Linked DNA regions of Mus musculus. The main gene of each other region encodes a partner of the protein of the gene in region 3 in a complex. Links are inferred from orthologs where the notes say so. Each region holds a gene or a part of one and is shown on either strand. Other genes may lie near its edges.

Region 1 (10,823 bases), on a different chromosome or scaffold from region 3:
GAGTCCTGAAGACTGAACTCAAGTCATTAGACTTGGTGGCAAACGCCTTTATTCACTTAGCAATCTTGCAAGACCACTGTTATTTGTTTTTGTTTTGACACAGGGTCTCCTGCAATTCAGACCAGCTTCAAAGTCACTCTGCAGCTGTAGAGGGCCTTGAACTCTTGATCCTGGTGCGCCAACTCTCCAGTACTGCACTTACAGTAGGACCCACCATACATAGTAGACGACGTTTCATTTTGATAGTATAGGCACATCAAATATATCCTAATTTACAAGCAGTAATTTAATAAGGTCATGCAATTATTATTTTGTATTTTTCAGTCTATACATATAAACTGAATCCCCTACTTGATAGTATAAGAGCAGTTATGAGTCTGACAAAATTGGCTCAATTATAAATACCCTGTTCTCCCCAAAGGCTTCATGTTTTAGCTTTCAAAAGCATTATTTCTTTTTACTGTATTTGAAAAAAATGTACATTTTATTATTGATGTATCTGAGACAGGAGTGGCTAATATTACTGATTGAACACTAATGAGCAAGGAGATGTTCACACTCTTATAAAACTGGACTGAATGCCATAAAGATTTCGAAACACTTAAGGCTATTCTTTAGGAGAACGGGCACCTGCCAGCACAGGAGACCCCGGTTTCAATCCCTACAGTACAAGAGGAAGGGAGAACGCGGAGGTTGGCCATACCTTGTCTTCTTGACCTGAATGCTGCTGCTCAGCTTCTCCAGCACATACTCTCCAGTGTCGTGGTTAATAATGAGCACACAGTCTTTCTGATAGGGCCGCTTGTTCCCTTTGAACACCGTCATTGGCGGCGTGGACCCCTGTTTGCCACAAAAGTATAAGATAAATACACCAATTACGAACGGTCCCCTAATCCATCATCAGACCTGCGCAGAAGGGGCAGATGACTGATCTCTGTCTGACTCCCCCAGCTTTCCAGGCAAAAGAAAGGAGCAGTTATAGTAAGCACCTGGTTTTAGGGATTCAAGAAATAGAACATAAAAACTTTAAGCTACTAGGCAACTCTTTACTAATGTGGGCAAATAGTTCAAAGAACAGCAATGCCCAAACTGAGGACAATTCACCTTGCCCTACACTACACAGAGCTATTACTAACTGGTTAGAGGAGGGAGTGATCTTTGTATTTCTTTGTAATGGAAGAGCCCAGGGCTTCCCCTTCATGCAAATAACCCAGGCAGCTTTCTCCAAGGGTGGCCAGCCCTTCAGCTGAGTGAGTGGAGCCCATGTTACTTAGCCATCACCCCAAGCCTTTCAATGGCTCCCATGCTGCTCGCAAGGCAAAGGATAATGAATTTAAGGCAGGGCCTGACCCCACCACCCATCTCTGGGCTCTGAGGTCTTTAGGAAGTAAGAGGCTCTTTTTCCTGCTTCAGGGCTGAAACTGGCCTTCTGCCTGCTATATTTTGACACTATGTAAATTACTCGATCTTCTGTTAAGTTCAAATAACTCTTCTCTGGTTTTCCACAAGTGTTTATTTTGGTTTGGTTTTGAAACAGGGTCTCACGTAGCCCATGCTAGCCTTATACTCTCAACCACCTTGCTTCCACCTCTCAAAGGCTAGGATTACAGGAAAGCATCGTATCCAGCAGCTACTATATATTCCTATATTTAAATTCCAGACCCTAAGCTGCACAACATCAGGAAATGTACTCATTTGGTTTAAAGTTAATTCTTAGAGCCCACTAATGGGCTCCTACACTGGACACTGATTTAATATTTGTTAAATATAAGATTTAACTTGTTGTTCAGAATTTATAGAAGCACAAAACAAAACAACAGCAAACTAAATTGCTTGGCTCTTCAGCCCCTTAACTGCACAGTAGAAACTTAAGTCTGAAGGGTGCATAGGGACCATGTACCTAACCCCTTCATTTTTCACTTGGGAAACTCAGGTCCAATGGGAGATGATGTAATCTTCCATGGGCAACATGTAATGAAACAGGAGTTCAGATGAAAAGGCTGTTCCCTCTGCTCCAGGGCTTCCAGGTTTGCTGCAGTCTGCACTCTGTCACCAGTTACAGAACTTGCTGTGTCTGAGGACAGAGCCGTGACACGTACTAAGGAGCTTTTCTAGTCTAACTGTTTTCTGTTTATTTCTTCTGTGTGTGTGTGCATGTACACGTGTTTTCTCGTGTTTTCTGTGTGTGGGCAGAAATAGGTACAGGTGCATGTGTGTATCTACATGCACCTAAAAGCCCAAAGCTGACATCAGGCTCCCTCCTCAATCACTCTCCACTTTTCTTTTTTGAGGCAGGTTCTTTTGCTCAATCCAACTAAGTCTAGCTAGACAGCTTGCCCAGGGGATACCATGTCCTTATCTGTGACTGTGGGCTCACAGCAGCTGCCATGTCTGCCATGGTTTTTACATGGGTTCTGAGGCACCCAAACTCCAGTCCTCCTGCTTGAGTACTTCATTTCCTCAAGCCATCTCCCCAGCCCAAGGTGTCGTGAACGCAAACACAGGTCTCCCTTCTGTTTTCCTTTGGCTGAACTGGGAATTGACCCTAAGACCTCATGCGTGCAAGGCAAGACCTCTATCACTGAGCTACCACCCCAGACTCACAGTGCTGCCCTGAAGAGAGCCTTACAGTACAAAGTCTTTTCTTCCAAGTCTTTGGTGCAGCTTTTAACTGAGTTCTTCACCCCTAAATTAGCTGAGTGTTCCAAACTTTGGTTCCTGCCTAGGACCATCAGCCTGCACCGGATCCCTTACTAAATATAGAGATGTCACTCTGGCTCCTGGCCTGCCTTCTGGCTGTTCTATGTTCAGGAGCTGCTATTGCTATGCAGGGCACATAGGGCCCTTTTCTCCAGAACTGCTTGGGATAAGTGTTATATATGTCTAGCAAAGGGGCCACTGTCTAGACGGAACCTTGCCTACTATACTATATATTGGACAGAGATGGGGAGTAAAGACTAGAGACAAAGAACTACCTAAACCAAGTCCCAAGACGCATGAGTAAGAACCCATCTGACTCCTAAATTCCTTTTTTACTTACGTTAGCTCTCTAAACATTTAAAATAAATAAATAAATAAATAAATAAATAGAAGGAAATTTGAACTGTAAATAAAACACAAGGTCGTTACATTAGATCAACATTGGAAACAACTTACAGGGATGTGTGGCAGCGTAATGGTGACTTCATCTCCTTTGCCAACCTGGAGTTCTCCTTCACAGGAAGTGTCTATTGATGCTGGCTTAAAATCGTCTAAAAGGAAACAATGGATATTTCCCACTGGGTGGCTGAAAATGAAGACTTCTTGGGCATTTTAATTTCAGATTAAATAAAAGCAGTTGAGAATGCCTTTATGTGCCTGTATATGCACAGGTACATGTGTACAAATATCTGCAGGTACCTATGGAAGACAGCTTTAGATAATCTCTTAAGTACTATTTGTCTTGGTTTTTTTGACCAGGGTCTCTCATTAGCCTGGAACTCACTGAACAGGCAAGGCCAGCTGGCCGGTGGGTCCCCAGTAATCCTTCTGTCTCAATATTTCTGGCACTGAGATAGGAACTGTTTATCCTGTGGCTCCTTTATGTGGATTCCAACCCGGATATTCATATTTTCATATCAAGTACTTCACAGACTGAACCAACTCCCCAGCCCTCTCATTTACAATTCTAAAAGACTTTGTCATAGAAAACTTCATATGCTTCATTCACGGTAATAATGAGCCCCAAATGCTCTCACCCAATAGTTATCAACTCAGAAACACCTCTATATACGCTGCCTTCAACTATACCATCATTTAGTACAGGGAGCTGAAACTTATATACTCTCTGAAACTTACACTCTCTTATGTTAATGTAAGACAATCCCTTCTTCCAAGTGTCAGGCACACAATTAACATCTCACCATCCATAATAAGGTAATACCAGAACTGTGTATATAAAAACTGTGTGTATAAAAGCAACACAGCAAACATTCTTTTTTTGGGGGGGGGGGGAGGAGGGTTCGAGACAGGGATTTCTCTGTATAGCCCTGGCTGTCCTGGAACTCATAGACCAGGCTGACCTCGAACTTAGAAATCTGCCTGCCTCTGCCTCCCAAGTGCTGGGATGGCGTGCAACACCTCTGCCTGCTTTCAGCAGACATTCTTAACTATAAATCCTACATAAGACACAGCAGGCCACATGAGGTTGGCCTCTTTTTGCACAGAAATGTTCTAAAATAGAACATGCCACATTCAAGTTCTCATTTTGGTGGGGGAAAAAAGTCTGGCTATGTTCAGAAGCAGACTGGCGAACTCCAGAAATTACCCTGCTTATTCTTGCAAATTACACTTACACAATAGGAACAGCCATTTTACTTCGCACCTGACTCAAACTGCAGGCCAGGAGCACATGTGCAGAATTGCACTTAAACTTACACTGCTCTTCTGTGGAGGAACAAATTAGTCAACTGGGAAATGACAATCTTATCGTTTCCCCAGTACTGTCTCTCTGCAACAGCTGAGTCTGCTGTGGGTGCAAAGCACAGATGCAGCTATGTGACAAGAGGCCACACAGAGATGGGACTTTAATATCTAACACACCCCCCTGCCTGTGTGTTGAGTCACATCGATTAGCTCCCATGACAAAGCAGGTCTTAACCCACACTAACGCTACCGGAAACCCGACGCCTGTGATTCACAGGGATGTGCTTGGTTTGGTCAGCCATGTCCTGACTCAGGACACACAGTGGCAATACCCCTTTCAGAGTCTATAATCACGTAGGAAAGGGCCCAACATAATGACTCTTTCCACATTCCTTATGCTGCCTTCTTCATTTTCCAAACATAGATCAGGCTTTAATTTATGCCAGATGCACAAACTCTAATTTTATTCTTCACCCACAAGTGAGTTGGCCCAGAAGTTAAGGTGAAGTAGGTGACATTAATCTAGCTAGGTATGGTGGATCAGGTCCATATTTTCAGCACCACAGAAGCTGAGGTAGGAGGACTGCAGCATGTTCAGCGCTGGCCTGAATTATATAGTAATTTCTAGGCCAGCATCACTAGTAAGACTGTCTCGAACAGCAACAACAACAAAATCAGTGTCATAAGCAGAGAGGAAGAAGAAACCTTATGGGTGGCACGAAGAATGCAGGTTCCCTGGCTGTGGAGGAGACCAAGAGCAAGGGGAAAGGAGCAAGGGAAGGAATGAAGTAAACGACACTCGTAGCAAACGGAAGACTTTTCCAGGGCAAGAGCCCTGATGGAAGAATTCGACAAAGAGAACGGGGACACAAGGGAGGAGAAATGGGCATCGCTACTAAAGGAGAAAAGTTTGGCTTAAGGGCTGGGAAGGGGAATTTGAAATAAAGGGGCTATGACTTTCTGAAGTGGTATTTGAGACTGTAAAGTAAAAGAATAGTTGGCAGCAATCAGAGGTTTGGTTTGGGAGAAGAGATTTCAAAGTAAAAGAGCAGATCGAAGTTCCAGAGGCTAAGGGATGAGAGGTAAGGAAAGCGACGCTTTCGAGCCGGGATTAGCCAGGGGAGTCTGGGCTTGCACGTGGCGGCCAGGGAGCCCCAAGTGAACCTGGAGGGGCGCTCACTCACAGCGAATCGTGTGGAAGGAGGCCCGCGGCCGCTTCTCGAAGCTTTCCCCTAGCCGCAGACAGTGTTCCTCCCGGTCCAGCAGCGGGTTCGCCGTGCCGTTCATGGCCTTGCACTTGCCCGGCACCCGGATTGGAGCTCTCCTCGCGCGGCCGCAGTCCCCCCGGATCCCCGCGCAAGCGGCCCGCAGGACCGCGCTCCCGGGACACCGCTCCGGAGCGCGCACTGAACCAAGTCCGCGCCCACCCGGGGCCGGAAACCAATCTACTCCGCGTCTCGAGAGACTCTGCGGAAGTAAGGCCGCTGCACTTCCGGCATTGGGGAGGGACTTCCGTCTCCCCAACGGAAATAGCGGGGGCAGTGCCATGGAGAGAGAGTTCTCCGGGACTGCTGCAGCCCACAGTTTTCTGGTCTAAGGAGGAGCCCAGGTCAGCTAGAAGATTCTGCTGCCGACGCCTGGGCTTGACTGACGGGTGAGTGCGCCCTGACCTGTTCTTTGCTGGGGACCCTGGGAGCTCAGAGCGTGGGGAACTGAGTGGACGCGAGTTTGAATGTAGGTATGAGTGTCCCTGGACATGCCCGAGACCCTAGCGGCCTGCTTTATCCGAGGGTTCAGAGAGCGATGACGGTTCTCGGGACCTCAGTCACCCTTCCCCCTACTTCGCTCCATGGTTGCGATGAGAGGATTTCAGTTCTCCTGGCCGACGACGCTTCCTTCAGTTTATGGGTACGATCAGAAACCCCGGCCTCTCCGGATCAGCTCCGTCACCTCCTTAGCCCCCCCGCGATCCCGTGTCTGTTAGGCAATCGTCTACCCGCTTTCGGTTAGGGCGGTTGTTGCCGTTGTTTTGAAGTCACGTTTCCCACGGGCACTGAACGTTGATGAGAATTTTTTTTTCTCACATTTTCTCAGTCAACTCGTGGATGCGTCCCTTTGCCCTAAGTAAACCTATTTCTTGTAGTACTTGGCTCATCTGATTTGAATTGGGAGTCCGGTCCGTGAGAGTTCTGGTCTCTGAGTGTAGTAAGCTCTATGCAGTAGAGACTGTCTTGGTCTTTATGACCTCTCCAGACCCCGGCAGGGTGTTGGGCAGAGTCAGCATCTCGGGAGTGTTAAGTGAATTGACCCCGGAGCCTTAAAGAGCCCTCCGGGAACCTCTCCCCGAGTCTTGGACTCGTTTAGAATCCAAGCTCTAGAAATAATAAAGAACGATCTAGCTTGATGAGGCCCTGGTCACCCGAGTTGGGAGGATGAGGCAAGAGGAAGTACATTCAAGGGACAGGCTGGGCTTCAGGGACAGCCCCTGGCTCAGATGAACAGGATGGGGAGAGAAGCAGGCAGGTTGTTAGAGAATCACTAGTCAGAATCAATCAGTCAACCCCCTCCCCCCCTTTCTCTTTCCTAAGTAGCATCGTATCCTGTTGGAGCTGGAAAGTCACCTGGGGAAACTGCATCAGAGAAACTCCAGTGTCTACAATCTCAGCATCGTTTGTTCAGATGGTTGAAGAACAGAGGACCTATAGCAGCATTGAATGTGTTTCCGGCAACTACAATGGCTTCTTTCCAAAGGAAAGGACTGCAAGCAAGGATTCTTAGCACTGAAGAAGAGGAGAAACTGAAAAGAGACCAAGCTTTGGTGTCTGCTTTTAAACAGCAAAAACTGGAAAAAGAGGCTCAGAAGAACTGGGACCTTTTTTATAAAAGAAACAGTACCAATTTTTTCAAGGACAGACACTGGACCACCAGAGAGTTTGAGGAGTTGAGATCATGTAGGGAGGTAGGCTGGGGTTTCTCCTGGCTCGAGCCATCTTCATTTATGATGCCTAGAAGAGAGGTCCTTTGTTACATGTAGAGAGTGCTCCCAGATGGCACCCTTAGGTGCCGTTTCTCAGGAGCTGTCTTGTTTTTTGAAACAGGGTCTCTCAGTAGACTTGGGGCACACAGATTAGCTTGGGCTAGATAGCCAGTAATCCCCAGGGAGCCTTCCTAGAATGAGATTCCAACTGTGCGGCACCACGTCCAGTTTTTTACCTGAGTGCTAGTGGTTGTGTGGCAAGCACTTTACTGACTGAGCTACCCTAAAGAAAATTAGGACGTCTGTCAGAATGTACCTATGGAGAGTTCTGATTTGTTTCAAGTATGTTTAGCAATGTCTGGGCTGTTTAATAGAAAACAGAGCTTTAAGGTTTTCTTTTTAGATTTGTTTATTTTATTATGCATATGGGTGTTTTGCTTGCATGTATATCTATGTACCATATGCATGTCTAGTGTCTGTGGAAGTCAGAAGAGGGTGTCAGGGCCACCAGAACTGGAATTACAGGCAGTTGTAGGTGGCCATATGAATGCAGGGAATTGAACATGTGTTCTCCTAACCACTGAGCCGTCTCTCCAGCCCCCTAATGCTTTCTGCTTAGTTAAAGCTGATGTGAAGGTTAGAAATAGTAAATATTCAGACTACACTTTAGTGACAGATTGAAGCTGCTTGGTAGTTAATGAACATTTGCTGTACTGTTTTCTAAGAATTTTGCATCTGTTCCCTTAGTTAAGCTTCATAGCAACTCTCTGAAGTGCATTCGTGTTGTTCCTGTTTGCAGGAAAAACGATTGAGGCACAGAGCTATAGAAGTGAGTTGCCCGAGGATGGAATCCAGGGGCAAAAGAGGAGTTGGGATTTGAGGAGGAGGTTAGCCCAGAGTGTATGCACTGTGCTGTGGCTGCCTTATTTTTCACACTGAACTAACTGCCCATTGTCGAATGATTATAAATGAGGTGCCAGTGTTTAACTTTTTCTCACTAGCTCTGTTGTTTAGTATCTGCCTCTTGAGGTCAGAGACATCTCGTGCCTACTGAACATTTTAGCTTGGTATGTTTATTATGCAAACGCAATGTGTTATAACTTCTGTGTTCTCATTCCTCAGTATGAAGGTCAAAAATTGACTTTGTTGGAGGCTGGCTGTGGGGTTGGGAACTGTTTATTCCCACTTTTAGAAGAAGACTTGAATCTCTTTGCCTATGCCTGTGATTTTTCTCCAAGGGCAGTTGACTACGTGAAGGTTGGTGCACCGTATATGTATTCCGCTGCTTGTTTCCTTATGCCTTTGTCTAGTCGTGTCCTCATCCAGGAGCTCACCAGCCATGAGCACCACGGAAGCCGTTTTCTGTTGCCTGTGCACGTGAAAATATTTGATTCAAAGCAAAGCAGAGATACTACTAAACAGTCTCTGTGCTTGATTCATATGGCTTACTTTGTAGGTTGGTGTCTGATTGCGTGCCCTTTTAAGATAGGTTACTGTGACCAGGATTGTATACATGCTTCACAAAACTCACAGGCACAGTCCTCTGTGATGAGTAATGGAGGAAACAGAATCCCTTAGAAAGAAGGATGTGGCTGTGCAGTGGTGGTGCACACCTTTAATCCCAGCACTTGGGAGGCAGAGGCAAGCAGATTTCTGAGTTCCAGGCCAGCCTGGTCTATGGAGTGAGTTCCAGGACAGGCAGGGCTACACAGAGAAACCCTGTCTCAACCCCCCCCCCCCCAAAAAATAGAGATGTGAATGTTTACGTTTTAATAGATAATGCTACATTTCCTTTCAAAAGACCATGCCGGTTTTTAGTTTTACCAATAATTGTTTCCTCGGGTTTATTTTTCTTTTCTTTCACCAATCTAAGAAAAAAAAGTCTGAGCATTTTATTTTTCTCATTACTAGAGATATTGAAGACTAAAATTCGTAAATACACATACCTTTTTTTTTCTACCATTACCTCCTTTCTTCTCCGTGTGTTTAGTGAGAGCTTACTGTGTGCTAGTTGTAAGAATTAATCTGTGCATAACTTTTGCCTATTTTTCTGTTCTTATTTTAGAATATAGTAAGGATGTTTGTTAATCATGCATATGTTACAAGCATCTCTTTTTTTCCTTTTCAATATTATTAATTGTAGCCCTTTTCTAATGCAGGATTTAATTATGTCTTGTTGTTGTTGTTATTGTTGTTGAGATAGCCCAAGCTGAGGCAGGTTAAACTGTTGATCCTCTTGCCTCAGCCTTCCTGAGTCCTGGAATTATATGTGTGCACCACCATTCCTAGCTCATATCAAATTTATTAGCATTTTACTTTTGAGGTAACAGGCTTCATGTGTAAGAATTCTTTACGCCTGGCACTTAGATAATCATTTATTGTTTCCATTGCCCTGTTTTTAGTGATCTATTTATTTTTATTTTATGTACATTTATGTTCTGCCTGCTTGTGTGTGTGTGAGAGGGCCCAATCCCCTAGAACTGCAGTTAGAGTTGTGAGCTCTCATGTGGGTGCTGGGGATTGGACTCAGATCTTTGGAAAAGCAGACGGTGCTCGTAACCACCGAGCCAACTCTTTTGCATTTGCATCTGTACCATTTTAGTTTTCTTTTAGAGTTTAGAGATTTATCTATTTTGGGTTTATGAGACAGGGTTTCTCTGTGTAGCCCTGGCTGTCCTGGAACTCACTCTGTAGATCAGGCTGGTCTCGAACTCAGAAATCCACCTGCCTTTGCCTCCCGAGTGCTGGGATTAAAGGCGTGCGCCACCACCACCCAGCTATTTTTCTATTTTTAATTATGTATAGTGTGTATGTGCCTGCATGTGCGTATAAACACGGCACACCTGCAGAGGTCAGAAGTTGCAGATCCCCGGTAGCTGGAGTTATCGGCAGCTGCCTGATATGGTTAGTGGAAGTCGGGTCCTCTGAGAAAGCAGCCTTTACTGCTGAGCCATCTCTCCAGCCCCTAGTGTTCTTTTTAAAAAACATTGTTTGTCTGTTTTTTTTTTTTTTTTTTTAAAGATTTATTTATTATTTTATGTAAATACACTGTAGCTGTCTTCAGACACTCCAGAAGAGGGAGTCAGATCTTGTTACGGATGGTTGTGAGCCACCATGTGGTTGCTGGGATTTGAACTCTGGACCTTCGGAAGAGCAGTCAGTGCTCTTACCCACTGAGCCATCTCACCAGCCCCGTTTGTCTGTTTTTATATTGTGTGTGAATATACATGTATGTGGGCATGCACGTGTCGTTACACATGTGTGGAAGTCAGAGGGCAACATGCTAAAGTTGATTCTCTCTATGGTGTGGGTTCTGGGGATAGACTTAGATAGTGAGACTTAGCAACAAGTACCTTTACCCACTGAGTCATCTCCCTAGCCCCAGTGTCTATACCATTTTGATAATTATTATTTTAAATGCCTAAGCTCTTAGTCTCTCATT
Region 2 (10,324 bases), on a different chromosome or scaffold from region 3:
TTCTCTTCTTCATTCTACTCTTTTTTAAAAATAGCCCACTGGCTCCATTTAGCTCTGCCTGAAGGTACCAGGGTGTAGAGCCACCTGCTGAAGCTTGGGTCACACTTCTGAAGAAAGCTCATTTTCCCTCTCTTAGTCTCCATTAGCTGACAAAACACGAGTGGGGGTTATAGGATTTTTTTTCCTTATAGAGAGGCAACGGTGGCCAGAGTGGGAGAAATGAGGGAGACAAAGATGGGGAATGAGGCCAGAAAAAGTAGAGAGGAAGTCTCAGTAAAGACTGTTTGAACACAATGAGAAAGCACTGAACAGTTTTAACAGGAACTAAGTTGAACCTGACTATACCAGTAACTACACTGTAATGGTGTAGAGGAAACATGGAAGCAGGAGAGAAGCTGAGTCTTTTCTCAGTTCTGACCCAGGCATGCCAGCACAAGTATCACTTCCTCCCTGGCATGCCGTGGTTTAAGTGTTAAGGTGTATCTTTATTATTTTCGTTTGCCTATTTTAGCATCTGCAGTAGATTCATGGCAGTCTTCAGTACTGGAAAATTCTAAAGGTTAAGTTTTCACATCATCCCTTCTATTCTTTCTGGGAATTCCCATTATTCAGTGTTTCATCTTTTCCATCTATTCTCCTTCTCTCTTAGTTTTTATTTTACCCTGTGTTCTGGGACAGCACCTTCCATCTCACTAATTTACTTCTCACCCTTGTCAGTCTTGCCTACTTATTGATCTTTTTCAGAACATTCCTAGGACTTGTTCCTCCAAATTTAATCTTTAAACACGAACCTTCCTGTCTGCGCACACGTGTGGAAGCCAGAGGACGGGCTGTTGGTGTCCCTTCTCTCCCACTCCCACGTGAGCTCTGGAGATTGAACTCCACTCAGGAAGTTTGGTGGCAAGCATCTCTACCCACTGAGCCATTGCACTGATGATAATGTTTTTAAGTACGGGAGCTCAGACTCTGGGTCTTGTGTATGGCATGCAAGCACTCTTCTCTCAAAGTACTTGATTCTTATTTATAATATATTGGATTTTGTTTTATTTCTGCTTTCCTTTGTTTTGCTATACATAGCCAGCTTGGTCTACAGAGTAAGTTCCAGGCCAGCCAGAGTTACATAATAAGACTTTGTCTTCTAAAAGGCTATGCCTTCATATATCTTCCTAGGATCACATGGGTTTTTTCTTTATTTCAGAATTATATTTGTCCATTTTGAGGAGGAAGTTCCTCTCTCTGTCTCTTTGTCTGTCTCTTTGTCTGTCTGTCTGTCTGTCTGTCTGTCTGTCTCTCTCTCTCTCTCTCTCTCGCCTTTATAACACTCTTTGCAGGATCTTGTGATTCTGCCCCATTTACCAGAAACAAGTTTTACAATCACCTTTGAAGATTGCTATCTCTTGGAGATATGGTAGGTCCTTCAAGGAGTCAATGAGTAACAATGCTGTATAAACTATGGCTTCTGAAACAGAGCCACAGGAATGGTGTAAGTGGTTGCTTTTCCCCCTAGCCTCCTTTTACTAACTGAAGAACATCCAAGTATCTAGTACTCTTTCCCATCTTCACTTGCCCTCACCATACATTGTCTAGCTTCCCACAGAAAGTATAATTTCCCTGCATCTTATCAAGAAACTTTGTTTGTGTTCATGTGCACATTTGAGTGCATGTGGAAGCCAAGGACAGTTTCAGGCATTGTTCCTGAGTGCTATCCGCCAATGCTTTGGAGACAAGATCTCTCACTATCGTGGAACTCACTAAGTGGGTTTATCTGGCTGGCCAGCAAGCTCTAGGGATTCCCTTGTCTCTGCCTCACCCTACTCAGGTTTTGTTCTTGTTTTTTCTAAACATGGGTTCTAAGGATTGAACTAAAGTATTCCAAGCTCCTTCCTAAGTGAGCTATGTCTTTAGCTTGTACCAAACACTTTGTGTGTGTGTGTGTGTGTGTGTGTGTGTGTGTGTGTGTGTGTGTGTGTGTGCTTGCATGTGTCAAGAAGTCAGAACACAGTCTTGGTTGTTGTTCTTCAGGCCCTAGAATTTGCTAGTTAAGCTAAACTGATCTCCTGGGTTCCTCCAAAAGGCTTGGGTCACATCTCCAGCTCTGCCCTCTGTAGCACTCTAGGCTCTGGCTGACTCCACTCCACTGATCCTGCTGTTCTTGGTGATCATCCTATGGTACTGGCATCTCCAACATACTGTGGTCTTCCTCTGCAACTAGACTTTATCAATAGCAACTCATAGGCTCTCTTCATGGTGACAAGCCTCAGCTTTTTTGCATGACCCCTTCAGTCCTGGGCCATCAACTACAACTGAGACTGCACCTTCACCAATGGCCTTCGAAGGCTTCTTACAGTGCCAAGCCTCAGCTGCTCTCCATACCTTTAAAACTAGTACCATCTGGGTGATTTTACACATTATCAAGTCCAGATGCAGCATGAGGTTCAACCTTGGCTATCTCTGAAACACAGCTTCTTTGTGCTCTCAGAAAATACTTCCCAGATTTCACTTCAGTGATACTGGTCTCTTCTTCTTCTTCTTTTTTTTTTTCCAATTTTTTTTAATTAGGTATTTTCTTCATTTACATTTCAAATGCTAACCTGAGAGTCCCCTATACCCTCCTCTCCTACCTACTCACTCCTATTCCCCTACCTAACCACTCCCACTTCTTGGCCCTGGTGTTCCCCTGTACTGAGGCATATAAAGTTTGCAAGACCAAGGGACCTCTCTTCCCAATGATAGCTAACTAGGCCATCTTCTGCTACATATGCAGCTAGAGACAGGAGCTCTGGGGGTACTGGTTAGTTCATATTGTTGTTCCACCTATGGGGTTGCAGACCCCTTCAGCTCCTTGGGTACTTTCTCTAGCTCCTCCATTGGGGGCCCTGTGTTCCATCCAATAGATGACTGTGAGCATCCACTTCTGTGTTTGCTAGGCACTGGCATAGCCTCACAAGAGACAGCTATATCAGGGTCCTTTCAGCAAAATCTTGCTGGCATATGCAATAGTGTCTGCATTTGGTGGTTGATTATGGGATGGATTCCTGGGTGGGGCAGTCTCTGGATGGTCCATCCTTTTGTCGCAGCTCCAAACTTTGTCTCTGTAACTCCTTCCAGGGGTGTTTTGTTCCCAATTCTAAGAAAGGGCAAAGTGTCCACACATTGGTCTTCTTTCTTCTTGAGTTTCATGTGTTTTGCAAATTTTATCTTGGTTATTCTAAGTTTCTGGGCTAATATCCACTTATCAGTAAGTGCATATCATGTGAGTTTTTTTTTTGATTGGGTTACCTCACTCAGGATGATACCCTCCTGATCCATCCACTTGCCTAGGAATTTCATAAATTCATTGTTTTTAATTGCTGAGTAGTACTACATTGTGTAAATGTACCACATTTTCTGTATCCATTTCTCTGTTGAGGGACATCTGGGTTCTTTCCAGCTTCTGGCTATTATAAATAAGGCTGCTATGAACATAGTGGAACATGTGTTCTTATTACCAGTTGGATCATCTTCTGGATATATATCCAGGAGAGGTATTGCTGGATCTTCCAGTAGTACTATGTCAAATTTTCTGAGGAACCACGAGACTGATTTCCAGAGTGGTTGTACAAGCTTGCAATCGATACTGGTCTCTTCTTAATCACTGCTAATTTATTAGTTCCAGAAAATCAGCATCAATTGTCCCAGGAATCTCTTCTATTTTTGACTCTACAGGGAGAGTCACACGGACAAAGCTGCTGAGTTCTGCTGCTTAGTGGGGCTGGAACATGTGCCCTTCTTCTATTACATCATCACCAGCTTTCTGTTTTCTAATTCTTTCACTTCCTAAGCTTAGCTGTTCTGGAACTTGCTCTGTAGATTGACCTTGAACTCAGAGATCTGCATGCCTATCTCCTAAATACTAGGATTAAAGGTGTGGTTCTTTCTTTCTTTCTTTCTTTCTTTCTTTCTTTCTTTCTTTCTTTCTTTCTTTCTTTCTTTTTTTCTTTCTAACTTTTCTCTACTTAGAATCTTCTGTATCCCAGGCTGACCTTGAACTCAGAGAACGGCTTGCCTCTGTCTACTGGAATTAAAGTCGCATACCACCTTACCTGAACCTAAGCTTTTCATGGCCGCTATGCCTCAAGATTCAGGTCAAAAGCCTGTGTCTTTCATTTCTGAATTGTAGTTCATTCCAGATTAAAAGTCCAAGTGAAAACAATAACCAAGTAATAATAGTGGCTAACATGATATAACTATTCCTTGTTCAATGGTAAATGCATAAATAACAAGTTTAGCTGGGTGGAATCTTGCCAGAAGTCACCACTCCCTTAATCTGTTTACCTCCTTGAACACAGGATTCAGCTCCATTTCACTTCCTGGTGCCCGTTTATTACTTGAGCCACACATTTTATATTTTTCCTTTCTAAGTCTGCTTTGCTTCTTCAAAATGTTCTTCATGAATGGAATGAACTACAATTGGGGCGGGCTAACAGGTTCAGAGGTTCAGTGCATTATCATCAAGGTGGGAGCATGACAGTGTCCAGGCAGGCATGGTGCAGGAGCTGAGAGTTCTACATCTTGTTCCAAAAGCAAACAGAAAACTAGCTTCCAGGCAGCTAGTACAAGGGTATTAAAGCCCATGCCCACAGTAACACACCCAATCCAACAAAGCCACATCTACGCCAACAAGGCCATACCACCAAACAGTGCCAGTCCCTGGATCATACATATTCAAACAGCCACACTAAGAAAATAAATAGTAAATAAAGCAATATAATTTTGTTAAGGTCTACTCTCTATTGTAAAAGGAATTGCAAACTTTGAAAAGTATAAATCAAGAGAGGTGATAAATTAAATTATAATCACTAAAAGATCATTATCGCTAATAATATACATAGTTGATGAAAATTTCCTTGACTGTATATACACAAGACTTGCCTAAGATCAAGCCAGTCAAAACTTCAACATGAATGTGCAAGGACCTCACAAAACTCCACCCTAAGATGAAGAGCTATTGGCAGTTGGAGGCTTCTATGGAAGGAAAGTTCAGCTATCTTCAGAGATGCAGCCCTAGAAGATTGACCTTGTTTCAGTGAATGGACCTACAGTGATGTTCATACACATACTGGCAACATCAAGTGGACATAGCAGTTAAGGGAAAGGGAGAACATGAAGTTGGGAGGAAGTCCTGGTATTGATGGTTGGGGAAATCAAGAAAATGAGCTGAACTACAGTGGTAGTCATAAAGATAAAAAGAAGTAGATGGATTTAAAAGATATTTAGGAAGTAGAAGTCAAAAGGACTTGATGAAATATTGAGTATACAAAAAGGTAAGAGAGTAACTCAATCCTGGAATACAATCAGGCTTCTGGTTTACATAATGACACAAACGCTGCCATTCACTAGGCAAATAGACAGTGAGCCAAAAAATATAGTGTTGTTTTTTGTACAGCATTTGTACAGTATTTGAAGTGCCTTTTACTAAGAGGTGAAGCTAGACCTATCTGCCCAGGACTCAGAGGTCTGCATGGAGATTGGTATTTGAAAGTTCTCTCTAGATAGATAGATGGGTAGATAGATAGATAGATAGATAGATAGATAGATAAATAGATAGAAACAGGAGCATGAGGAGGTTATCTAAGAAAAAGAAGAAGATAGAATAAAAAGAAAAGGGCCCATGGAAAAGCTTCGAGGAGCCCTCACTCCAGTGACAGAGTACATTTTAAACTTGCAAAGGAGAAAAAAATTGGCTAATGATTACAAAATACATAAATTAAGATTCTTCTTTAAATTTTAGTGCACAATAAACATGGCTACAATGCAAGTCCTGTTTTAGTTCTTATGGCTATGCATACTTACGTAAAGTACTCATCAGAAGGGTACTGTGGTCCTGAAGTCGGTGACAAGTAGCATCAGCCTCTGAAGTCCTGTACTGTGGCCCAGCAGACATGCTAGGGTGCTCCGAGCTGTATTTCCTTGGACCCAAAGGAGAGAATTGGTCATCATCTTCAGAATCACTAGAACTATCCTCACTACTTGAAGATGAAGAACTTTTGGAATCTGATGAACTATCACAACTACTCATCTGGTCCATAAGACTAGCTTCTGCTTTCAGTTCTGAAAATAGAAATAATAAAGTCAAATAAATAACAAGAAGAAACACAATAACATAAATGCATTAGGTTTTTAAGATAAGGAATAAATAAAACTAAAACACATATTCCAGCATCTAAACCATTTATTTTAGAAATTCCTGTAGTGCACTGTCCAAGAAACTTTCTAAACATCCAGCCTGCTGCTGTTGCCCTTGGTTATCACCACAGGTGGAAGGTGGGTCCCTATCGCTAAAGACACCATGTATTTCAATAACAGGGTGCAGAGACCCTTTTGCTGGAACTGACCCACAAGCCCTCTCCTTGAGGATTACCTTTCATGGTACCAGAAGGTGACATTTGGAAGCTTCAATGGAGAGAGGCAACCAACTGTCTCACCCAGCTATCGTGCCCATGGACCCCATCAATTGTCACAATAACACAACATAGTAGTAGTGGTACATACACCTTGGTGGTAACCAGCAGACTCATGACTCACACAGCCAGAAAGATTATACTAGGTACCAGAAACTTAGGTAACTTCTCAGTGTTAGTGAAGTCATGGTTATTAGGGGAGAATCTACAACCACTAATTTACTAAAAGACCAGAATTATCCCTAATAATAACACTCTATAAACATTTGTCCTTACAGCCACAGATAAGTGTAGTCTTCGTCCCTCCATCCAGGAAATTTCTTTTTGCAATAGACAGAGAGCAAAACAGAAAACCACAACCAATCAAAATTCTGAGTTGTAGAGCCCAGTCCCAACAGATATACCTACAAAACCTATCTGCACCCAAGGCTCAGGAAACATTTGGGAGGAGGGAACGAAAAGATTGTATGACTCCCAGATCTTACAATGTTACAAATAGATCAGGGAGTTGGCTGTGAGATTGTGTCTCCTGCTGACATCAGAAGCTATACCCACAGAGTCTATTGCCCAAGCGTTACCTAAACAAGGATGATACAAATGAGCATACCAAACCGGATATCGAAAAACCTATGAAGCCTCAACTCTACACAAAAAGCTATTAGCCAACTGAGGGAAGCTGAGAACAAGAGAAATACTCTTCCCCAGGGAAGAGCACACCAATTGGCTGTCCAGTGCTAAATGATCAGCCCTGAAAACATGCAGAAACACACAGACAGACAGACAGACAGACAGGCAGGCAGACAGACAAGCACACAGCAATATGTGGACTAAACAGGTTATATTTGGTAATGTATATGTATTTACATGCATATATGCATGCAATATAATATATTATATTATACTATATATAATATAATATATTATTATATATTATATATAATATGTAATAATAATATATGCATGCAATAGCAATTAGTGAACAAAAGAGGCCATGAACTTAAAGGAGAATGGAAAAGGGTATATATAGGAGTTTTTGCAGGTACGAAAGGAAAGCGAGATATGTTTTAATTAAAATAAAAAAAAATAAATTAAAAGCCCCTCCTTTGGCACCAAGCTGGATTTTAATAACAGGAGTATGAGACTAAAAGCATAGGTAACCAGTTGGGTATGGCATCATAATTTGTAATCCTAGCATTCAGGAGGCTGAGACTGGAGAATATCAAGTTCAAAGAGCTATACAGTGAGACTTTTCCTCAAAAAGAGGGAGAAGCTCAGCTATTAAGAGCACTAGCTGTTCTTCCGGAGGACTAGAGAGTGATTCCCAGCACCCGCGTGGTGGTTCACAACATCCATGACCCAGGGGATATGATGCCCTCTTCTGGCCTCCAAGGGTACTGCATGTATGTGGTACCAGTTTTATACATATATATGAATGTATATGCAATATACTCATTAGCATAATAAGTAAAGTCTCAAAAACAGGGCACAAATAATATCTAAATTTAATTTGATATGTATAATAAATATATAATAAATAATGAAAAATTTAAAAGTGTAAAAATACAAAATGCATTATTAGTTTTTTTCCTTAGTCCTTAGTATGCACTGTGCAGTGTCATACCTATGGACTTCATTCTTTTTCCAGCTGGTCTAGAGAAAGCTTTGATGACTCATGTCTTTTGGGTTTTGTTTTTGCTTTGTGACCTACCAGGGTTTAACTAGATCTACTCTCATGGGCATGGGTGTGAAGCTACCCACTTGAAGATGAGCAGGTCATCAATGACAATCACTGAAGACAATGCCCTCTCCTCCGGTAGCCTATGAATTCCTCATACATGACTGAACGCTTATTGTATGTCTGTCTTGCACATGCCCTTGTAGGCAGCTACAACCGTTGTGAGTTCACAAGAACCACAGACAGCATGTCACTACCCTACAGCATGCTGTCTTCCCTATCCCTATTGTTTGGCTCTTACATTCTTTCCCTTCTTCCTTGGTGCTCCCTGACATAGCTGTAATATTCTTCTGTATCTTTTTAATGGCCACTGGATCCACTACTGATTATAGACATGGTCATTAAATTCCCAATATTAATGATTCATATCTTTTCTTATTTTGTTTTATTTTGTTTTAAAGTTTTATTTATTTAATGTTTATCTGCATGTACAGCTGCATACCAGAAGGGGGAATCAGATTTCATTGAGATGATTGTGAGCCATCATGTGGCTGCTGAGAATTGAACTCAAGACCACTGGAAGGGCAACCAGTGCTCTTAACCACTGAGCCATCTTTGCAGCCCTCATTTTTGTTTTTGAATAGAGGTTTATCAATTGTGTATATGTATTGATAAACTCTTTGTTTCACTGACATTCTCTACTGCTTTCAGTTTCATTTATTTTTATTATTTCTTTCTTTTTGCCTTTTTGGGTTTATTATTTTCTTTTTCTGGGCATTGGAACTTCAGTATGACACCTTTCTCCTTCTCTAATTCAAGCATTTAGAGTCTCACAGATCCCCCCCCCCCCCGCCACTGCTTTGGATGCATCATGTCCACTTTCTGTGTTTCTCATTTCCTTTTATTCTCTCTTTTTTCTTTAACCCATGGACCATTTAAAAGTAGGTAAATTTCCAAGTGTTTAAAGATTTGTTTAGTGTCACCTGCTATTGACTTTTAGGGTGTTTTGTTATGGTCAGAGTACAAGGTTTTTATGATTTTGTTTTAAATAAATGAATCAAGATTTTTCTTATAGCCCACGGCATGGTTTATGTTGTTGAGTGCTCATTAAGCAGACACTTGAGGAAAAAAGGTTCATTTTTTTGTTGTATTTAGTTGACATGTGGTGTGTGTGTGTGTGCGCGCGCGTGTGTGTGTGCGTGTGTGTTGCCTGTTACCCAGAGCACACTGAGGAAGTAAGTCACTAAGGATTATTGATTTTTATATTTCTGTTTTCATCATATCAGTTTTATCTCATAAGTTTGCAGTTCCATCGCTAGTCACATTGTCTTCCTGCTAAATGAACCCTTTAGTTGTTACTAATGTACTTCTTTGTGCTATTTTGTTTTGTATCTGATATTAATACAGCCACGTGTGCTTTAAATGCTTACATGGTGTATTCTTCTATCCTTTCACTTGAAAGCTGCCCATTTCATTAATTTCTTATAAACAACACACAGTTGTATTTTTTTGGTAAAAAAAAATAAATTTTCTCCATTTCAACTAATTGGTTTAGACCACTCACATTTACATTAATCACTGGCTCACTAAGGCTTACCTGTGACGTGTAATATTTACTTTATGCTTATTTCCTGTGCATTTGATTTTGATTCTTCTGTTTTACTTTCCTTTCATTTCTGTGGGATATCCAAATCTTCTTCAGAGTTCTGTCTTCCTTCCTTTTTCCTTCCTTCCTTCCTTCCTTCCTTCCTTCTTTCCTTCCTTCCTTCCTTCCTTCCTTCCTTCCTCGCTTCCTTTCTTCCTTCATTCCTCGCTTCCTTTCTCCCATGTGCTTTAGGTGTCACTTTACATGTATGATGATGTACTAGCATGTATGTCTTGCCATGATTCAGTGTTACAAGTAAGACATGAAAATCACTTACTTTAGATGCCTTTTCTTTTCTTTCTTTCTTTTTTTTTTTTTTTTTTTTTTTTTGGTTTTTCGAGACAGGGTTTCTCTGTGTAGCCCTGGCTGTCCTGGAACTCACTCTGTAGACCAGGCTGGCCTCAAACTCAGAAATCCACCTGCCTCTGCCTCCCGAGTGCTGGGATTAAAGGCGTGCGCCACCACGCCCAGCTAGATGCCTTTTCTTCTCAATTTTTAAATATTATTGTCTTAAGTATCAGTATTAACCAAAATGTTCACCTTTGCTTTGATTGCCACATATGA
Region 3 (9,075 bases):
AGGGCGGGAGGCGGCGGCGGCAGGTGCGGCTGCGAAGGGTGGGAGGAGGAGGGAGGGGGTGGGCGGAGGGGGAGGGGAGGCCAGGACGGGCACCTCCCCCTTTATAACGCGCCCCCTCCCGGGCTTTCGGGCCGCCTCCTCGTCTGCTCTGCCTATCTCGCCCCCTTGCCCTGCCGCCCCGGGCCGGGCTTGGCCAGGGAGCCTCCGCCCCCAGGCCTTCCCCCCACCACCACCCGCCGCCCCGCGCAGCCCGGCGGAGGCGGCGCCGTCGGAGGAGGAGGAGCAGGGCACTGCGGCTGGCCCCGGATCGGGAGCCAGAGCGGCAGCAGCTTCGGCAGCAGCACGGCCCGGGCCAATGCAGCGGGACGCACCGCCGCGAGCCCCAGCCCCAGCGCCACGGCTTCCTGCGCCCCCGATCGGGGCCGCCAACAGCGCTGGCGGCGGCGGCGGAGGCGGGGGCAGTGGCGGCGGCGGAGGCTCCTCTGCAGCTCCGGCTCCCCCTGGCCTCCCGGGAACTACAAGTCCCAGGGGGCCTGGCGGCGGGCGGAGACCGGAAGAGGCGGGCTCGGCACCTCGAGGCCGGAAGTGGCCGTGGAGGCGGAAGTGGCGCGGCCGCGGAGGGGCCTGGAGTGTGGCGGGACCGGGAGCGGCGGGAGCTGCGGCTGGGGGCGGCGGCGGCGGCGGCGGCGGAGGCGCGCTGGAGGTGGCCATGGCCAAGCAGTACGACTCGGTGGAATGCCCGTTCTGCGATGAGGTCACCAAGTACGAGAAACTTGCCAAGATCGGCCAAGGCACATTCGGGTAAGATTAGGCCGCGTGGGACCGCGAGCCCGGGACCTGCACTTTCCAGGGCCGACGTCGGGTCGCCCAGAGCCCGGGCCGAGGTGGTCCGGAAGCTTCTGTTTTCGTGGCTGTTGCCCGGTCTTGCTCGGCCGCGGCGCAGACGTTCCCGGCCCAACCGAGCCGACTGGCGGGGAGGAGCCTGGGGCCCGTGATGGGGGTTGGGTAGGGTTGCTGAGAGCCACTCCGAATGTGAGCGGCCACCTCTAGGGGAGGAGTAGGGGCTGAGTAGGAGTAAGCAGAGGCCGGGAGGAGGACGGAAGACACGCGGTGTGGAATGACCGCGTCCCGGATCCGAGGCCGCACCCCGCCCGCCGTGGGTCTGGGCTCCTGCTGCTCCCCTTCGCGCGGGGGAGGGGCACTCCCTGCGGAAATGCCTTATGGGTCCCTTGGGTCTTTCTCTGTGCCTGCAGGGAAGTCTTTAAAGCCAAGCACCGTCAGACGGGCCAGAAGGTGGCTCTGAAGAAAGTGTTGATGGAGAATGAGAAGGAGGGGGTGAGTATATGGACCACTGGGCCGACCTTCTTCTAACCTGGCTGGGTTTCCACACCGCTACTTCAAAGGGTTTTGTGCTGAGATTCGACCTAGTGTTTTTCGGTTTTCCATGGAACAAGGAATTTGGCTTTCCATTTACACTGTTGAGCTTTAGTGGCAGAGTTCTGTGGGAGCCACGGGAGGGAGCCTGTGCTTTTCCCATGGAGTGCAGGTTGACTCTAGAAAACTTTCAGCTTAGCTTGGCGTTGAATTTTGTTTTGTATGAAGAGACCATTTGTGCACAAGCCGTTTAAAAGGCCGCTGAGCTTAAGGTGATGTTCTGAAAGGTGTTGTTTCCATCAGCCTCAGCAGCATTGCCTTTGTAAGGAAAATGCTGTTTGTCTTACTTTGCGTCTATAGGGTCTTCTGTTTTCTGGCATGTCTGTGTACAGCACTATTCTCCAGTACCTGGGTACCTGAGGAAGCCAGAAAGGTGTGCCAGGTTGCCTTGGATCATTTGGGACAAAAGATCCACTGTGTGGGTGCTGGGAATTGAACCTGGGTCCTGGGGGAGGATAGCCAGTGCTGTGGTGTGTGTGTTTCCCTGAAACAGGGACTCTATGTTTTGTTTGACACAAAATCTCTCTGTAGCCCCAACTGTCCTGGAACTCACTGTTTGGTCCAGGCTGTTCTCAGACTCACAGAGGATCAACTGCCTGTGTTTCCTGACTGCTGGAAATAAAGGGCTGGACTGCCACACGTGACCATAGCCAGTTTCCTTAACCATTCAACTATCTCCATTCCCAGGAAATTTCTTGATCTTTTTGGTTTTTTTGAGACAGGGTTTCTCTGTGTAGCCCTGGCTGACCTGGAACTCACTTTGTAGACTAGGCTGGCCTTGAACTCAGAAATCCACCTGCCTCTGCCTCCCAAGTGCTGGGATTAAAGGCGTGCGCCACCACTGCCCCACAAATTTCTTGATCTTAACTCACAAGTGTTAGTGACAAAATGTTTATCCTTATTTGGGTTGTCTAAAATAAATTCCCAGTCTGGAGTAAAGGGTTGTGATTATAATCCCAGCACTTATGAGACTGGGGAAAAAAGATGGTTCATAAACAAGTTCAAGGCCACCATTATCTAGATGGCAACATTTAGCAGCTCCTTGAGATATGTGTGTGTTTGCACTTATTTTATATTTTGCAAAGGCTAGCTACAGATAAATATAGATATATCTTCCCCTCTCCCTTCTTTTTGAATCAGGAGCTCAACTAAGCAGTCTGGCCTTGAACTTGGTGGTTCTGATGTCTCTGTCTCCTGATACGAGAATTGGATTCCAGATAGGAACCATCACACAGGAACGATTCTCTCGCCTGTCTTTCAACCTCTGTCCCTCAGTATAGACCCCAAACACACCCCCACCCCACCCACAGTTCCTCCGTCTGTTGTGCTCTCAATTTTGACCACTTCCTCTTTCTCCTCCCTAGTTCCCCATCACAGCCTTGAGGGAAATCAAGATTCTACAGCTCCTAAAACATGAGAATGTGGTGAACCTAATTGAGATTTGTCGGACCAAAGGTGTGTTGCTTGCCTCAGGAGAAAAGGGGGGTTTGAGACAAGGTTTCTCTGTGTAACCCTGGCTGTCCTGGACCTTGCGCCATAGACCAGGCTGGCCTCACACTTAGAGGTCCACCTGCCTCTGCCTCCCGAGTGCCGGCCCCCCATCTTCTCTGGTCTTGTTTGGAGTTGGGTGTCTGTGGGTTGGAGGGCTGGGAGTTGGCTGTGGAAAATGAGGTGGATGCAGGTTTTTATTTTTTATTTTTCTCTCTGCCCCTTCTGTATCAGCCTCACCGTATAACCGCTGCAAGGGCAGCATCTATCTGGTGTTTGACTTCTGTGAGCATGACCTTGCTGGGCTGCTGAGCAACGTCTTAGTCAAGTTCACGTTGTCTGAGATCAAGAGAGTGATGCAGATGCTGCTGAACGGCCTCTACTACATCCACAGGAACAAGGTGGGGCAGAATGGGGCTTCTCTGCTCTTGACTGCTGTGTAGGCCAGGCTCCAGGATGCTATGAAACCTGACTGAGCTCTTGTGTGTCCTCCCTTCAGATCCTGCACAGGGACATGAAGGCTGCGAATGTGCTCATTACCCGGGATGGGGTCCTGAAGCTGGCAGATTTTGGGCTGGCCCGTGCCTTCAGCCTAGCTAAGAATAGCCAGCCCAACCGATACACCAACCGTGTGGTGACATTGTGGTACCGGCCTCCGGAGCTGCTGCTCGGTGAGGACTCCCGAGCGGGCAGAGGGGGGCAGGGGCCGGGTGCCTACCTGGCCACAGCCCCCATTGCCTGGGGCCTTTTGAGCCATCAGCTCTGGGACGTGGAGTCTCAGGAGGCCCTTGGGCTTAAGAGGCACTCCCGGTACCCTCTTCTTCTCAGGAGAGCGGGACTACGGCCCGCCCATTGACCTTTGGGGTGCTGGGTGCATCATGGCAGAGATGTGGACTCGTAGCCCTATCATGCAGGGTAACACAGAGCAGCACCAGCTCGCCCTCATCAGCCAGCTCTGTGGCTCCATCACCCCAGAGGTGAGTAACCGAACTGGGTGTTCCTGGGGGATGCAGAGACCCAGGGCCTCTGGCCAGTAGTGGAGAGTGGAGTCCTTCTGTAGAGGAAGCTGATTGCTGCAGGCCAGGCTTACTGTTCAGTTTGTTTGTTTGTTTGTTTGTTTGGGTTTTTGGTTTGGTTTGGTTTGGTTTGGTTTTTTGAGACAGGGTTTCTCTGCGTAGCCCTGGCTGTCCTGGAACTCACTCTGTAGGCCAGGCTGGCCTCGAACTCAGAAATCTACCTGCCTCTGCCTCCCAAGTGCTGGGATTAAAGGCGTGTGCCACCACGCCTGGCATGGTGCTTACCACTCTTAATGTTGGTTGTATGAGCTCTCTGTTGCCGAGACAAAGTAAGTACATGAGAAAAACAAAAGCGCCAAGAGTTGCTTTTGTTCAGAAAAACAGAGAGGTTGTTTAGCCTTTGCTTTGGTGCAGAGATGCTGCTAAATGTCATAGTAGAGAGTCCACTGGAGAGAGGGTGTGGCCATGGCAGGGAGGGAGCAGAAGAGCAGGGTCCAGTGTGTAGCTCCAGTGGTGGCCCACTCAACCCCAGAGGCTTCAGCACACATTCAGCAGGCCTCATGGTTCCTTCCCCTTTGGGTGGTCCCCTCTCCTCCCAGAAGTTTCTGCCACCTCCCAATAGCGCCACCTGCTGGAGACCAAGCATCAGCACAAGCTTCTAGAGACAGAGTTTCTTGGTTTTTTTGTTTTGTTTTGTTTTATTGGGGTTTTTTTTCTTGGTATTTCGTTCGAGACAGGGTTTCTGTATAGCCCTGGCTGTCCTGGAACTCAATGTAGACCAGGCTGACCTCGAACTCAGGAATCCGCCTGCCTCTGCCTCCCAAGTGCTGGGATTAAAGGTGTGCGCTACCACTGCCCAGCTCGTGTGGTTTTTTGTTTGTTTGTTTTGTTTATTTTTTGTTTGTAAAATGGGAATGTGCCTGGATGGGGGCTGGCACATTTATCGCAGCTGACTTGTGTTCGGGCACTAGGGGTGTGCTCCATCTGGTGACTGGTGCTTTTAACTTGAAGACATGATCTCTGCGATGGAGGGGAGCTCAGGGAACCTCTGAGAGAAATTGTTTTAGAAACCCACTCCCCTGGCATCTCAGATAGCAGTCTTACTCCAACTCCGTTCTCTCCTCAACGCCTCTCTTAGGTGTGGCCAAACGTAGACAAGTATGAGCTGTTTGAAAAGCTGGAACTTGTGAAGGGCCAGAAGCGGAAGGTGAAGGACCGTCTGAAGGCCTACGTGCGCGACCCCTATGCTCTGGACCTCATTGACAAGCTGCTGGTGCTGGACCCCGCGCAGCGGATTGACAGTGACGATGCCCTCAACCACGACTTCTTCTGGTCGGACCCCATGCCCTCGGACCTCAAGGGCATGCTGTCTACTCACTTGACGTCTATGTTTGAGTACCTGGCACCGCCACGGCGGAAGGGCAGCCAGATCACCCAGCAGTCCACCAACCAGAGCAGAAATCCCGCCACCACCAACCAGACGGAATTTGAACGTGTCTTCTGAGGCCGGAACTGGCCGGTGTTGTTCTTAGGTTAGGAGTGGATTGCTTCCTTTGCATGGAACATGTGACATGATGGGACATTTGAGATTTTCTCCTCCAGTACATATTAACTCCCACCCTGGCACTGGGAACAGCTGCCTGAGTGGGCTGGGGTGGAGCTATCCTGCCTGCCCCTCTCTGGAGGTCTCAGCGTGGACACAAAGTGAGGTGGGAGAGGCTCACCCACTGTGACTTTCTAAGAACTACTTGCATGGTGGGAGGAAGGCACAGGTCCCTCGCCATCGCCAGCTCTTCCTCTGGATGAGAGTTTGAGGGACAGAGGCGCCTCCAAAATGGGCTACTTTTGGTCTGGACCTTAGGGGCGTGGGGCTGTGTGAACTCCTGGTTCCTTTAAAAGGAGAATTTTATTTTGTTTTGTTAAGTTTAGAGACATTCCTGGACGCAGTTTGATTGGTTAAATTAAAAGTTGGTTATTTTTTTCCAGTAAATGGCTGCGTTTCCTGTGTTCAGACCTTCCCTCAGCTCTTGTCTCAGCTAGAAGCTAGGGTTTGGTCAGCCAGGACACTGCCAGTTCTTCTGTACCACCCAACACTCTGGAGACGTTCAGGGTTTGCCCTCTTCTCCTCCTGGGTACCTTCCACTGCGCTCTTCACCCCCGCTGAAGGCGTGTCCACGGTGCCAGTGTCCTGTGCTTGGTGTTGGCAAGTGCTGTAAGCTGAGCTGGAGTGAGCTGCTGGACCCGGGCTGCTTTGGCTCCTAAATCCTCAGACTGGACTCATAAGCAGGGCACTGCAGCCTTACAGTCATGGAGTGACAAGTGTAGCCTGTAGCTCCAGGGCTTGGGGGAAGCAGGACAGAAGTGGCCAGAGTGGGGTCAGGTGGCATGGGTTGGGGTGAGGGCAGGATGGAAGGCCAGTGTGGAGATGGGATGGTCCTAAGGATGCAGGGTAGGGACCCTTAGGGCACTGACCTAGGCGGTAGATTCCCCAAGAGTTTCCTGGAGTCTTCTCACAGAGCTGCCTGAAAAGGACAGTTTTAGTCCGCTAGCTAGCTCTGGGAGCTGATACAGTACTTGGCCTGTGATTTTGTATTTTCTTTTTTCCTTGCATGTTTATGCTCTTATGTATTCCTGGTACCCAGGGAGGCCAGAAGAGGGCTGATTCCCTGGAACTGGAGTTAAAGGTGGTTGTGCGCTGCTGCCGTGTATGTGCTGGGAATTGAACCAGGATCCTCTGGATTTGCAGCTAGAACTTTTAACCATGCAGCCATCTCTCAGCCCTTTATTTTGAGACAAAGCTGTCATGTAGACTAGGATGTCCAGAACTGCAGGTCTCCCTGCTTCCTCCTTTATTTAGGGAGCTAGGGTTACAGGTGTGCGCCATCACTTACACAGCAATCTTGGTCCTGGAAACCATCCGTCAGCATCTTCTGTGTATGTATCTGTGAGGATATCTGTCGTTGGGTTTACTGCCCGGGATAATCCCATCTTAATCAGTTATGTCTGCGGAGACTGTCTCCCCGTAAGGCCACGTGCTTAGGGCATGATTGGAGAGGACATTATTCAACCCGCTATAGCGAGAACTTAGAAAAGTCTTTGTGGCTACCAGCAGGTTTCAAATGCTCAGTGGCATGAAGACAAACTAATAGAGCTGTTCTGTTTCAGAATATCTCCCCTGAAGTATTCAAGGAATTCAGCCCTTTGCTAGAGATTGAACCCAGAACCGGGTAAGTGCTCTACCACTGAGCCACGCCCAGTCTCAGGGTTTGTATTCACTGACTCCCTCCGCAGCTTCCTGGAAGTCACTGTGTATAATAGATTTATTGTTGGATTTAGACTTCACCATAGCCCAGGGGACTTTCTCCAGTCGCCATTTTCCGGTTAAGTTTCATGGCTGGGAATTCAGGCTCTAGTAGGTTCCAATTAATTACTCTGATGGAGTAGAGTCCATTAGAAGTGAAGGCCTGGGGCTGGAGAGATGGCTCAGCAGCTAAGAGCACTGACTGCTCTTCTGGAGGTCCTGAGTTCAAATTCCAGCAACCACATGGTGGCTCACAACCATCTGTAATGAGATCTGATGCCCTCTCTGGTATGTCTGAAGACAGCTACAGTGTACTTACTATGTGTGATAATAAATAAATCTTTCAAAAAAAAAAAAAAAAGTGAAGGCCTGGGGAGATGGCAAGTCAGTCAAGTGCTTGCTGTCCAAGCACAAGGAAGCACTAAGGAGGTGAGAGGGGTCTGGCTTTCTGGCCAGCTAGTCAGGCTGAGTCAGTAGGCTCAGTGTGAGACCCTGTCTTTTTGTTGTTTGTTTGTTTTGAGACGGTTTCTCTGTATAGCCCTGGCTGTCCTGGAACTCTGTAGACCAGGCTGGCCTCGAGCTCAGAAATCTGCCTGCCTCTGTCTCCCAAATGCTGGGATTAAAGGCATGTGCCACCACTGCCCAGCTGAGGCCCTGTCTTAAAAAGGAAAAAACGAACAGTTGAGGAAGACACCAGTCAACCTCTGATTTTCACACACTTGCACACACACATGAACATTATACACACAAGCGTGTGTGTGAACATTTACGTTCATTACAAAGTCATGGACTCAGAATGCAGAATGAGGAATGTGCAGAGCAGCTGAGGACGCAAGGGTAGGTGTGGGGACAAAGGCCTCAGGCTGGTGAGGCTGGAACGGACACAAGGCCAGCTTTAGAACTTGGTGAAAGTGCGTAGCTCTGACTTTCCATGCCTCTGTGTTTCCTAATGGATGTTATATCTGTGTGGTAAGCCACAGAGCCGGCCTAAAACTCTGGAGCTGGGCTGCTGAAATGGCTCCATGGTGAAAGTGCCCTAAGGACAAAGCCTCATGACCAGAGTTCCCGCTCAGCCACCTGTATGGTGGGAGACCCTGACCTTCACAGGAGCTCTGTGGTGCGCATGCGCAAGCACACACATACACACACACACACACACACACACACACACACACACACACATGACACCTGCACACGTGAAATTAATGTTTCTGTAAAAATCCCTGAAGCAGCTGACTCCAAGCCTCCCACTCCTCCCTCTAGGAAGGAGCTGGGCTTGCTTCAGTATCCAGACCCGATGCCCAGCTGTAACGTGGGTCTTGTTCCCAGCTCCTAGACACTGTCACCCCTGTGTGCCAGTCTGATGCACATTAGACTGAGTCAGAAACACTAGGGAAGAAGGCCTGGACTCATTTTTTTTTTCTTTTTCTTTTCTCTCTTTTTTTTTTTCAAGACAGGGTTTCTCTGAAGCTCACTCTGTAGACCAGGCTGGCCTCGAACTCAGAAATCCGCCTGCCTCTGCCTCCCAAGCGCTGGGATTAAAGGTATGCGCCACCATGCCCGGCCTAGACTCATTTTCTTGATGTCATTTGCAGTCCAAGGACTTTGTCATGCATCCTGACTTTTTTTTTTTTTTCCAACCAATTGATCTGGTAAAACAGGGCCTCTTCTCCAGTAAACTTGAACTGGGTCAAGGTCGCCTCATTCCCGTGCTGCCCCTGTGTTTCTTTGTCTTGCTCTATTGGTCCTGCCAGGTAGGATGCCAGCCAGATGGGGCCAACTGTAAGAGGAGGTGGGCTGTGACCTGGAGGGCTAGGAGAGGCCAGGGAGAGCCAG

What was found.
Region 1: Cdk9 (region 3) and Eaf1 share a complex: the UniProt entries of both Homo sapiens proteins name them as parts of the super elongation complex. The link is inferred for Mus musculus from reciprocal best matches to the Homo sapiens genes CDK9 and EAF1.
Region 2: Cdk9 (region 3) and Eaf2 share a complex: the UniProt entries of both Homo sapiens proteins name them as parts of the super elongation complex. The link is inferred for Mus musculus from reciprocal best matches to the Homo sapiens genes CDK9 and EAF2.

What each region holds. Positions count from the first base shown.
Region 1 is NC_000080.6:31,490,137-31,500,959, reverse strand, and holds the start of Eaf1 (ELL-associated factor 1), read right to left. Parts: upstream 5,882-10,823; 5' UTR 5,692-5,881; coding exon 5,589-5,691; intron 3,252-5,588; coding exon 3,157-3,251; intron 841-3,156; coding exon 704-840; intron 1-703. Other genes in the region: tRNA N(3)-methylcytidine methyltransferase METTL6, read left to right, coding at 6,309-6,312, 6,993-7,363, 8,504-8,638. UniProt on the Homo sapiens protein: Acts as a transcriptional transactivator of ELL and ELL2 elongation activities.
Region 2 is NC_000082.6:36,794,755-36,805,078, forward strand, and holds part of Eaf2 (ELL-associated factor 2), read right to left. Parts: intron 6,091-10,324; coding exon 5,833-6,090; intron 1-5,832. UniProt on the Homo sapiens protein: Acts as a transcriptional transactivator of TCEA1 elongation activity. Acts as a transcriptional transactivator of ELL and ELL2 elongation activities. Potent inducer of apoptosis in prostatic and non-prostatic cell lines.
Region 3 is NC_000068.7:32,704,291-32,713,365, reverse strand, and holds Cdk9 (cyclin-dependent kinase 9), read left to right. Parts: upstream 1-581; 5' UTR 582-709; coding exon 710-801; intron 802-1,253; coding exon 1,254-1,335; intron 1,336-2,574; exon of another isoform or gene 2,575-2,798; coding exon 2,799-2,889; intron 2,890-3,156; coding exon 3,157-3,323; intron 3,324-3,421; coding exon 3,422-3,593; intron 3,594-3,750; coding exon 3,751-3,899; intron 3,900-5,076; coding exon 5,077-5,442; 3' UTR 5,443-7,584; downstream 7,585-9,075. UniProt on the Homo sapiens protein: Protein kinase involved in the regulation of transcription.